2 linked regions of the Coturnix japonica genome follow. The protein of the gene in region 2 binds, or shares a complex with, the protein of the main gene of each other region. Links are inferred from orthologs where the notes say so. Each region holds a gene or a part of one and is shown on either strand. Other genes may lie near its edges.

What was found. Proteins that work in one complex are often made in the same cells at the same time.
Region 1: the proteins of AAGAB (region 2) and AP1S3 are in contact, whole or in part, in a crystal structure (PDB 9DDT), measured with the Homo sapiens proteins. The link is inferred for Coturnix japonica from reciprocal best matches to the Homo sapiens genes AAGAB and AP1S3. Residues at the interface, in NP_078942.3 of Homo sapiens: Asn51, Lys52, Tyr53, Tyr54, Glu108, Val109, Met110, Ile111, Gln128, Ile132, Gly135, Phe136, Glu137, Asp151, Phe153, Pro154, Glu155, Arg161, Gln164, Ala165, Asn167, Ala168, Asn169, Val170, Met176; in NP_001034658.1 of Homo sapiens: Arg10, Gln11, Lys13, Arg15, Gln37, Leu40, Ser41, Arg61, Tyr62, Ala63, Ser64, His85, Val88, Asp92, Phe95, Val98, Glu100, Leu101, Asp102, Ile104, Phe105, Asn106.

Annotation. Positions count from the first base shown.
Region 1 is NC_029524.1:6,846,144-6,850,863, reverse strand, and holds the start of AP1S3 (AP-1 complex subunit sigma-3), read left to right. Parts: upstream 1-1,439; 5' UTR 1,440-1,631; coding exon 1,632-1,679; intron 1,680-4,720. UniProt on the Homo sapiens protein: Subunit of clathrin-associated adaptor protein complex 1 that plays a role in protein sorting in the late-Golgi/trans-Golgi network (TGN) and/or endosomes.
Region 2 is NC_029525.1:17,110,905-17,115,860, reverse strand, and holds the start of AAGAB (alpha- and gamma-adaptin-binding protein p34), read left to right. Parts: upstream 1-1,907; 5' UTR 1,908-1,942; coding exon 1,943-2,015; intron 2,016-2,215; exon of another isoform or gene 2,216-2,319; coding exon of another isoform or gene 2,320-2,326; intron 2,327-2,411; coding exon of another isoform or gene 2,412-2,492; exon of another isoform or gene 2,493-4,935; coding exon 4,936-4,956. Other genes in the region: IQCH (IQ domain-containing protein H), read right to left, coding at 874-988, 1,277-1,374, 2,412-2,492. UniProt on the Homo sapiens protein: May be involved in endocytic recycling of growth factor receptors such as EGFR.

The DNA of each region.
Region 1 (4,720 bases), on a different chromosome or scaffold from region 2:
GAGAAACCATCTCGCAGTGATGATCAGGCCTGGGGCAGGTTCTGTGAGATGCCCGGAGCTCCTGCAGTGCACAGTTTGCCTGCTGTGCACATCTGTGCTCTCAATGACGGCAGTGCACCTGCACCGAGTCACAGTGCTTTCATCGCAGGCTGAATTTTGACGTGTGTCTCTATCCTCACAAACGCAGCTGTGTTGTTTTCTTTGCAGTGGTTTAGTCAGAATACACCTCCTCGTGTGTTAGTCTAATTTTGTGTGTTGGGAAGGATGTGCCTGCCGTTCAAATCTGCATGTAAAATCAGTGCAGTAATGAGTTTACAGATGGCAGTGCAATCTCCATACCGCACATCCCAATATATACACACACATATATGCTACCTTTCTGGTTACCTCTCGACACAGCTCTCTGTATCCATTTCCCTGGTGTAACGCTTATGTAAATAACCGGAGTTCATACTGTGCCCTTTAAGGTCAGTAAATATGGGAGGTGATTTCGGGGAAGCTGATCTCAGGCCTCTTCTCCCTGGTGCATGCACTAAACAAACGCCAGTTCTCAAAGCACTCACCATAGTCCCGAGGGAGTGGTGCTCACAATGGTGCTACTTATTAGCAGGTCTGTCTGCTGTTTGATGACTGTAATTTCGTAAAGTGAGTGTGTATTCTTATTCCTTTGCTGAGCTCGCAGCCCGAACGCTTGCTGGCATGGTTACAGCAGGCAGTGCTGTCAGCCTTACCCTGCCCTCCTGTTGTAGACCCGGTGCCGATGAAAGGGCGCTTTTGTCAGGGTACTCGTGCTTAAAATTCCTCTGCCTGTCCTCCAGGAAGGGTTGTTGTGTTGAGTTGCTCATCAGGAATTAAGGATTATTGAGTTACAGACTAAGAATAAACCTTATTCAGGCTCACAACTGAAGAACTTTTAGATAAAAGCTCTCCTTAGCTCAGTTTTTCCTGTTTAGCGTGAGGGGGTTGTGCTTGCCGCCAGTGTTAAATGCTTGGAGACTGGAATGGAAGGTACTCCTGCAAATGGTACTGTGTCTCAGCAGGGGGGGTTGTTGCCGTTGTTTGCTGTGCTGCAGATTTCCAGGCTGGTTTCAGGGGAGCTCATCAGACAAGCGTTGTGTCCTGCTGAGAATGGCTGCATTACTGCCCAGCTGCTGCCTTGTGACGTGCAGAACAAAGGATTTTTAGAATACAGACTGCTTTCTGCTCTCTGACATATGGGTGCAGCAGTGAAACTTGGCCGGAAGGGTTGCTGTCTCAACAGATCAGAAAGTGAAAGCCGGGATTGGACAGAGAAAATGATTTCTTTCCCCAGGGACACGTGTTGCTGCAATCTTTCATGCCCGTAAGTGTTGCAATACCACCATCCCACAGCCACCTCACCATTATCAGTATTATCAAGTTCTCTGTTTGCACAGCTCTGAGTGCAGAACTGGTGCCTGCAGAGTAAAAGGTTCTGCTTCCCTCCTGCTTCTTCTGCTCATCAGTACAGTGCAAAGCGTCAGTACCTGTTGGCATGACCTGAAGCCCTGGAGAAAGATCAATAGAAGCTCCTGGCAAACAGGAGGCCCTAAAGACATACTTGGCGTGCTTGGGAAGGAGTTGGCAGGTGGTGTTTCCATGTAGCAAGGCATATGATACTCGTCACAGATCTAGAAACCTGGCTGGAAGTGTTGGTTGAGGTGAGTGCAGGTGCTGACACCTGCCTGGTGTTTGTCAATGAACTCTCGTCTTTTCCGAATATTGACTTTCCCAATAGTCTCAGTGCCCTTGACTGCTAAAATAAACACAGGTCTGTAAAAGATATTTTTAGTGTTGTGCAGAACTTACTGTCAGTGATTTGAAGAAGAACGTGCTCTAAAACTTGCCTGTTCCACCCCCCCTCAGTGACACAACTGTGTATCACCTAGCAGAGGCAATGAACCTCACCTCTAGGAGTTTAACTTGGAAGGATGTGAAGGGCAGCAGATAAAAATAGATGGGAGAAGAAGAGAAAACCACAAATAAACAAATCTGGTTGTTGGAGGCAGTGTTACACGTAGTGTGTGTGGGGGGTAAAGTGTGATGTTTGTTTGTCATGCAGTGAACAATACGTATGGGAATGGGCAATGGTAATGGAGTAGCTTTCACTGGAGAAGATCCTAATGGATGGAGACTTGGAAGTTGATTCTGTAGGAGAAAGGACAGAAATGTATGAAATAATGAATGCTGTAAGGAATGCCTCCTAACAGACAAGTAAGGATACAATTTGTGAGGTTTCTAGATATTAAATGTAAAGAAAAGGGAGTATTTGTTTCATGCAGGTTGTCGCTGGCTGTTGCTGTGATCCTCTTTAGTTTTGGATCTTCTCTCTCATATACTCACTCATTACAGAGTATCACTTTTCTGGACTCACTGTCTTTGCAGTAATCGTGATTCACTCTCTAGAGTCTCTGGGTAGTATGCTTAGCAAATGGACCATGTGAAAATGTTTGAGCCTTTGCAGCTTTTCTGTATCTTTCCTCTAATCACTCAAGAATGTTGTGCTTTACAAACCATGCTGTGGATGTGCTGAAGGCGTCAGATTTATGCAAAAGTGCAGAATGATGGAGGTACAGAGGAAACCAATGGGCTGAGGAGGGCAGATAGAGCAGCTCTTGTTGCAGTGCTTGGAGGATTTATGCTTCAGCATTTGGCACGTACATCAGGCATTTATGCAAGCCAGTTGTATTCTTTGCAGCGATGCCTAAATTAAAATGATACTGCTGCTGTAAAAATAATTCTTTCTATATCACCCATGCACATCTACTAATTAAGCTTCCTTCCCATTTGTTTCCCTGCTGTCCTATTCCAGCAGGCTGTCATCTGCCTTTGCTTTGTGTGGAGCTCTCTTGAGCGGCCAGCCTTGGTTCTTTTTATATTTGCAGACATTGCAGTTTAAAGCAGCGTATGATCCAGTCGTGCACAAATGGTGTTTCATTTGCAAGTAGGAATATAGTATGTGGAGTCAGTGGGCTACAACTGGGAACTAAAATTTACATCGGTGTGTTTGAAGGCAAGAATGATGAGTCTTTCTGGCCGGACATGTATTTCTGGTCTAATGTGTCCTGGATTTATGCTTCTCAATGTGACAGATGTAACAGAGGGTGCTCTGTGCAGCAGTCTTTTTTCTTCCCTGGCTTACTGGGTTTGTGAAAGGTGTCTGTGCTATTTTCTATCCAGGCCTAAGGAGAAGAGAGAGGTCATTAAAAGCCTTCTGCAGCATCCAGTAAATGTGGTTGCCTTGCTGCTTGCAGATAGATTTGCTCAGAGGCCTGTGGTTTCTGTCCGCCAGTGCAGGGATTCCTGCATGGTCATCACCTTCTGCTTGGTCCCCTGAGGCACGCAATAGACATGAGGCACAAGGAAATAGGTAATGGAAAAGAGAGTGTCTGGGTTGTCTGCTCAGAGCTTTAGAAATGCCATGGGAGTGGCTGCATGACCTACAATGAAATGCTCAGACCTGAGGGCTCCCAGGCTGAGAAGCTGGAAGTCTCTGTGGAAGACTAAAGTAGAAGATGGAGCATGTCTCTACTGAAAATGCCTCTACCTGTTGTGTGCCCTGCTCCAGGACACAGCCTTCCTCCTTTGCTCCTGAGAGGTCAGAGGTAAGGGAAGAGCACTATGGTGTGCACAGCAGAGCTCTGCAAATAACTGATAAGACGGAGTGGAAATGGGAGTAACAGAGGCCGCACCTTTTGCCAGAGTCCAGTGGGTTAGATTTTAGCTGTGTTTCTTTACCAGGTGTTTGAGAACCAGACTGGGATTATTTATTTTTTTATTTTCTGTGCCTGTAAAACACATAGGGGCTGAGATGAATCATCTTGCAATGAAAGGAATTTGATCACCCCCGCAAACCACAGCCTTGGCACTGCCCTGCTTTCTGCTGAGTCGGGTCACTGGGGCAGTGCTCCCAGCAGCAGGTGAGGCCTCCTGCCCCATCTGCTCAGAGCATCTCACCCTCACCCAGGCTTTCTTGACCAGCAATGTGACTGCAGTTTATAACTGCTCTAATCACCATCACCCCTTCAGGGTTAGCAGGTTCTGTTGCTTTCAGGGCAAGCGCAAGCACTCCAATGCTTTGGGGTGAGATACTGCTTTGAACACTGTTTTCCCATCCTTGGTTTGGGTCAGGAGTGGTTTTGGCTCAGAGCTTGAGTTCAGCTACTCTGTTTCAGTTCTAGGTTTATTTAACTGGGATGAGGGCTCAGTTGGCTGGATCAGTACTACATGGAGTGCCTATCCTCTTGGTGCTGGCATGCTGGTTGGTTGAAACTCTTCAGTAATAAAATAGTGTTGACTACATCTTGAGAAGAATAAAATCAGTGTGTAAATATGGTCACGTGTGCCTGTAATGATCCGGCACAGGTTTTATTGCACGGACTTTGGATGTATTGTTTAGAGGAAATTGTGCAGAAATACTCCTAATGAAGATTAAGCTGGAAGGAGTTCTGTTCCTGCAGGGCAACAATGCACTGCTTGGGTATTCTTACATCGCTGCTTTCTTACTTGTTTTCCTTTTCCTACTTGCTTACATCAGAGAGACTTTGTGTTTTAAATGTTAAAGCTAAGATTGTGCAGTATTTAATGTGCAAGTGTTGGCTTCTGTGATACTGTGAATATAAGCTGTAGTAACAGTAACAAGGATTACATCCTTTCCTTGCATTCCACTACATGGCTTTGGCCTTAGGGTTAGGGTTGTGTT
Region 2 (4,956 bases):
AAACTGCATTCTGCTTTCAAATCACCTCCAGGCACCATTCTTCTCCATTCAGAACTGAGAAAGCCAGGAGTACGTCAGTCAACAAACACCAAAGTCCACGTTCTTTGTCAGTCACAAATGAAAATATTTCAAAGCAGTAACAGCAGCACCTTATACAGAGATATTAAATGAATATATAAAGATTCCTGACTTTTTCACCACAGTCACAGAACCTCATCGCCATAGTTCTACCAGATAAAGTTAAATAAAAATCAGCTCTCACTGCACCTTTCCATCACTTCAAAAGCAGGTAATATTGAATTATTACTTCACAGGGAGGCTTCTTTTACAAAGAAAATCACAACAGGAGTGGCAGGCTGCTCATTCTGGCCATGCAATTCCATGTCAATCCTAGTAACTGAATGCCATTCCTACAGCCCCGTGTCTCTCTTACACAAAGCCAAACCAGAGAACCAGTTTTATTCTCACACAACACCAACTCATGCTATTCCACTATACAGTCCCCGTTATTTCAAAGGCATCGCTTGCAGAATAGCAGCTATGCATTCGGTATTTGTTGACCTGGGACCTTACAACAGAATAAACATCTGGTTTCAGGATTCTTTATCATTATACATGGGAAACAAATGGATCACAATGATACTGAAGTCCTTCCTAGCCTTGATGTTACCCAGAAGCAGGGAGAAGGCTCCTGCCCCTCAGCTCCCTCATTCTACTCAGTGAGTAACACACTCATTCACCAGATGGTGTATCAACAAACACTGAACTCACAGAGCCAGGACATAAATTCATGGTGTCAACCAGTACCAACAAGATGCCAGTCCACCCATTTAATGCGGTCTCTGGGAAAACAAGTGATGTGTTATTTCAGACCTGTGAACCTGGAGAAAGGCGCAGTGCTGCTCTGCTGCATGGCTGGGCAGTCGTGGGCTCAACAGGCACCGGTGGTAGAACCAGCTGCTTCTCAGAGGCACCACATTGAAGCCCCCTGAGTCAGAAAGAAACAAGCAGTGAGGTTTGCAAAACTTACCATGGTATCACCTATTAAATGCACATCGCTCCCATCTGGTTGCATGGTAAAAAACTGCATTCTTGTTTAAACCCATGTGAAGCCAAAAATCGCAAGTGCTAACAGCAGGTTGCTGCAGCTGCTTAGGACAACATTTACCTTTGTATTGCTTTTAACCTATACAGAACCCCAAATAACCCAATTGGGACCAACGTTCCCCATTTGCCTCACAAGATCCTCGTGCTGCAGTCTCTCTGTTTCACTCACCATTCAAGGGGCTGTTTGGAACGTACTTCTTCACTGCCAGCAGCAGAAATAGTTAATAATTCTCTGTTTGGAGCACTTGAACAGCTCTCAGCGTGTTTCTGCCAGAGGAGAAAAAAAAGAGGAATCAATTATAAACGTATGAAGGACACACTAAGTTAAACTCCATCTTCCCTTGACTGAGAAGTAGTGCTTCTGTTGGGCTCAACCTGGATTTGTCCAGAGTTAAGGAAACCACCCACAGCCCAGCACCCACCCACATCTCAGCACCCACTTGTAACAGCCCAGCACCCACCCACAGCCCAGCACCCACCCGTAACATCTCAGCACCCACCCTCAGCCCGGCTATTACCCGCTGTCCGTGTCCCTCAGTGCCGTCCATCCCCTCATCCCGCCCCCATGGCAACACGACGCTCGGACCGGGCCGCACCACCCGCCTCACCGCGGGGGGAAGGCGGGGAGAAGCGGGCGGTGCGGCCGGTCGTTCTGTCGGTGCCAAGCGCTGCTCCCGCTCCCTGCCCCGTTGCCGATCCTCTCTCCTCTCACCGTGTCCCCTGTCCCCTTAGCAGCTCTCAGCCGTCACTCCCCACTCTCCTCTCCGCTCTCCGTCCCTCCCGCCCCGCTCTGTGGTAGCGGCGGGCGGAAGGGGCGCGTAGTGCGGCGGGCGCCATGGCGGCGGCGGGGCCTTACGCGCTGCTCAGCAGCTGTGATGGCGGCTTCGCGGCCGAGGAGCTCGTCAGGCGTGAGTGGGCGGCGGGTCGTGCCGTGGGGCTGCCCCGTAACGATGTAACCGGTGGTGGGAGATGTGGGTCGGCTGATGTTACGTTCTGTGCGCCGGTAACGGCCCCACAGCGGCAGGAGGGAGGGAGGGAAGGCAGGAGCAGGGACGCGGCTTCCATTTGTACGGCCTGAGATTGCGAGGAAAATCCGGTAGAGGAAACTTGAAGCGTTCGGTAGCGCCAACATGAGGGAGGGTCCGGGGAGAAGCTGTTCGGATCGCGGTGGTTTTGCTCTTATGGCTGTTTAGAGCTGTGACGGATCACTGGATGTGTGGTAAGATGGATGGTCAGTTTGGACCTGAGATGCCATTCAGACCCAGCTGTACCTCAGAATCTATAACATGAAACAAATAACGTACCTTTGTCATTGCTGCTTTCACCACCGTGCTCCTGGATTTCCTTGTATAGGCACTTGCAGTGGGCAGAGCTGTTTGATACATACAGGGCAGCTGCTCGGAGGATTCTCTGCTGGAAGTCTGTAAAACCTGCACCCTGCTGCTTCCAGGCTGATTGCGAGGCTCCTCACAGCCCGCACGAGGAGTTCGCTGTAGTTTGGAGGAGTATTTCTTATGTTGTGTTCCACCAGGTGGCTCTCAAGGCACAGAATGGGAGCGATGTGGTACCCACCAGCTGGCAGGACGGGGAGCACTCGGCCATAGGAGAACACTGAGCTGGGCTCCTGTGTGCATTCAATCCAAAGCAAGCTAGAAGAGCAATCAGTACTTAAATCTCTTTGGAAAAAGATGAGAAATTGCAAGGGTTCTGCAGTTCTGCATTGTCCTCTCCCTTGTAAATTAAATCACTGCTTGGAAGACCAAGTCTGTATGTGAGGCCATGAAATGAGAAGTGTGAGTCCAGAGCCTGGGGTGACTCACCCCACCCAGGGAAGCACCTGCTGCTCCAAACAGCTTTTAAACACAATGTGGGACACAGCTGTGCTCCGTCCTAATTAGCATTCAGCAGTTACTGGTGGGATGGTGGAAGTTTCAATAGGTGATGCCAGTGAAATAAAGGTCCAGCATTAGTTGTTCAAGATCCTCTACGAAATACTTCAGTTTTAAATCACGGCTTTGGATGACGTGAAGCCGCATTCTTTTGCAATACAAGCTCTTCCGTGCATGCTTTTAGTTCCTTAATACCGATGCAGCTGGATCCTGCCTGCATTCCTGTTGGCTGAGGAAGCTGTTTGTGCTCCATGGAGGAGTGAGCTGATGGGGCAGCCCCATGGGCCCAGCTGCGCTGCTGTCAGTGTCTGCTGTGCTTTTCCAGGCCCTTTGGATGGCAAAACGCTGCTGCTTGCAACGGCTGGGAAGCCTGAAATGAAAACAGAGTAACTCAGTGGAGATAAGTTTGACAAGCCACCTCCCTTTGCCATATTAGTTTTCTGGAAGTTTATTCCATATCCAAATAAAACATAATAGAGCTTATTCTGACGAATGTTCTCTAAAATTAGATGGGAAACTATTCTGGCTGCATTTACTTTTTTCCATTGAAGCGGAGGCCGCGTTGAGAAGAAACTCCTGGAATCCCAGCACAGCAAATATGATCTTAGGATTCATTCTAGCATGAAACATGTCCCTATGAACTCAGCCTGGGCTGCAAGGTGTGGGATGTGGAAGTCTCCAGAGCCCCATTGGCCCTGATACCCACTGACAATCAACTCCTGGCCTAGCAGCAGTTGGCACATAGTGGATACAATCCTGCTTACCAAAGGTACCAAACTATATTATGCAGAGTATGGCACTTAATTGGCTCATGTCAAAGTGCCTCTATTGCACTGCACATTAAAGCTGTGCACTTTGTAAGGTGCTGTGCCATCATGTTCTGCTGAGATCACATTGCCCCTCAGATCCACAAATCCACCTGGTTCTGAGCTCTCCTTTGTGCTGCCTCATGTGCCAGAGCTCAGGCACTGCTCAGTCTGCCCAGGCTCAGCAGTTAGCTGCCAAAATAACAGTAATAACAACAATAAACACTGAACCTGTGATAGCTCTGGCAGCAGGCTTTACTGCCTTTAGCTGGTAAGACTCAGATCATTCCAGTTCAGACTATCTGGGGGGCAGCATCTTCAGGAATTGTCTCAGTACCTTTAAGGTGCAACCCTTAAAATGTTTGGAAACACCTTTTTTTTCCCCTTTAAACACCTCTGATCCCAGCTGACTTCAGTGATTATATGATTTACTTATGAGATACCCGTGACTCTGTTCATCTGGAACAAGATGTTCTGTCCTTTCCAGCAAGGTACAGATGGGTTGCTCTGCTGCTACCAATAATTCAGCTCCACCAGGTGGCCGTCACGCTACGAGAGTGTTCTGCAAAGGTTGCTGCCAGCACACGAGGGGCAGGCAGTGCAGAGACTGCATTATCCAAGCACTGCCCTGGATTTTAATTGTTGAACTCCTACCTGGAATTTAATGGGCATTACAACTGAATTCCAGTAACTCGCTTTATTTTCTCATTAGTTACCTTGAGATTCTGGTCACAGTCAAACAGGCTTTTTTACATCTGAATGAACATGCAGGGTTTGCTGGAATGAAGTGTAGTTATTTGCTCCATCCATCCTGCTTGTGGGTAATGAGTTTGGGGCTCGCACTTGAAAAGATGTCTCAAGGAGAAAACAACAAAACGCACCTTACTTGAAAACAGCTTCTGTACCACATTTCTTTCTGAAAGCTAGAACCCATTTGGGAGTCATAAATAACATGGTAAAAGAAATGGAGTTTGATTTATATATATATATTTTAAATAGAAAGCAGCTAATTTTGTTGCAGCAAGGGAAGATGGCTCTGTATTGGCATCATACCAAGCTCTGGTACAATTTCCTGTTGAATTTTTCTTGATGCTGGTTTGTTTCACTTATCTCACTCAATTCTTTTTCTACAGGCATCACAGGAAGAGAGGACC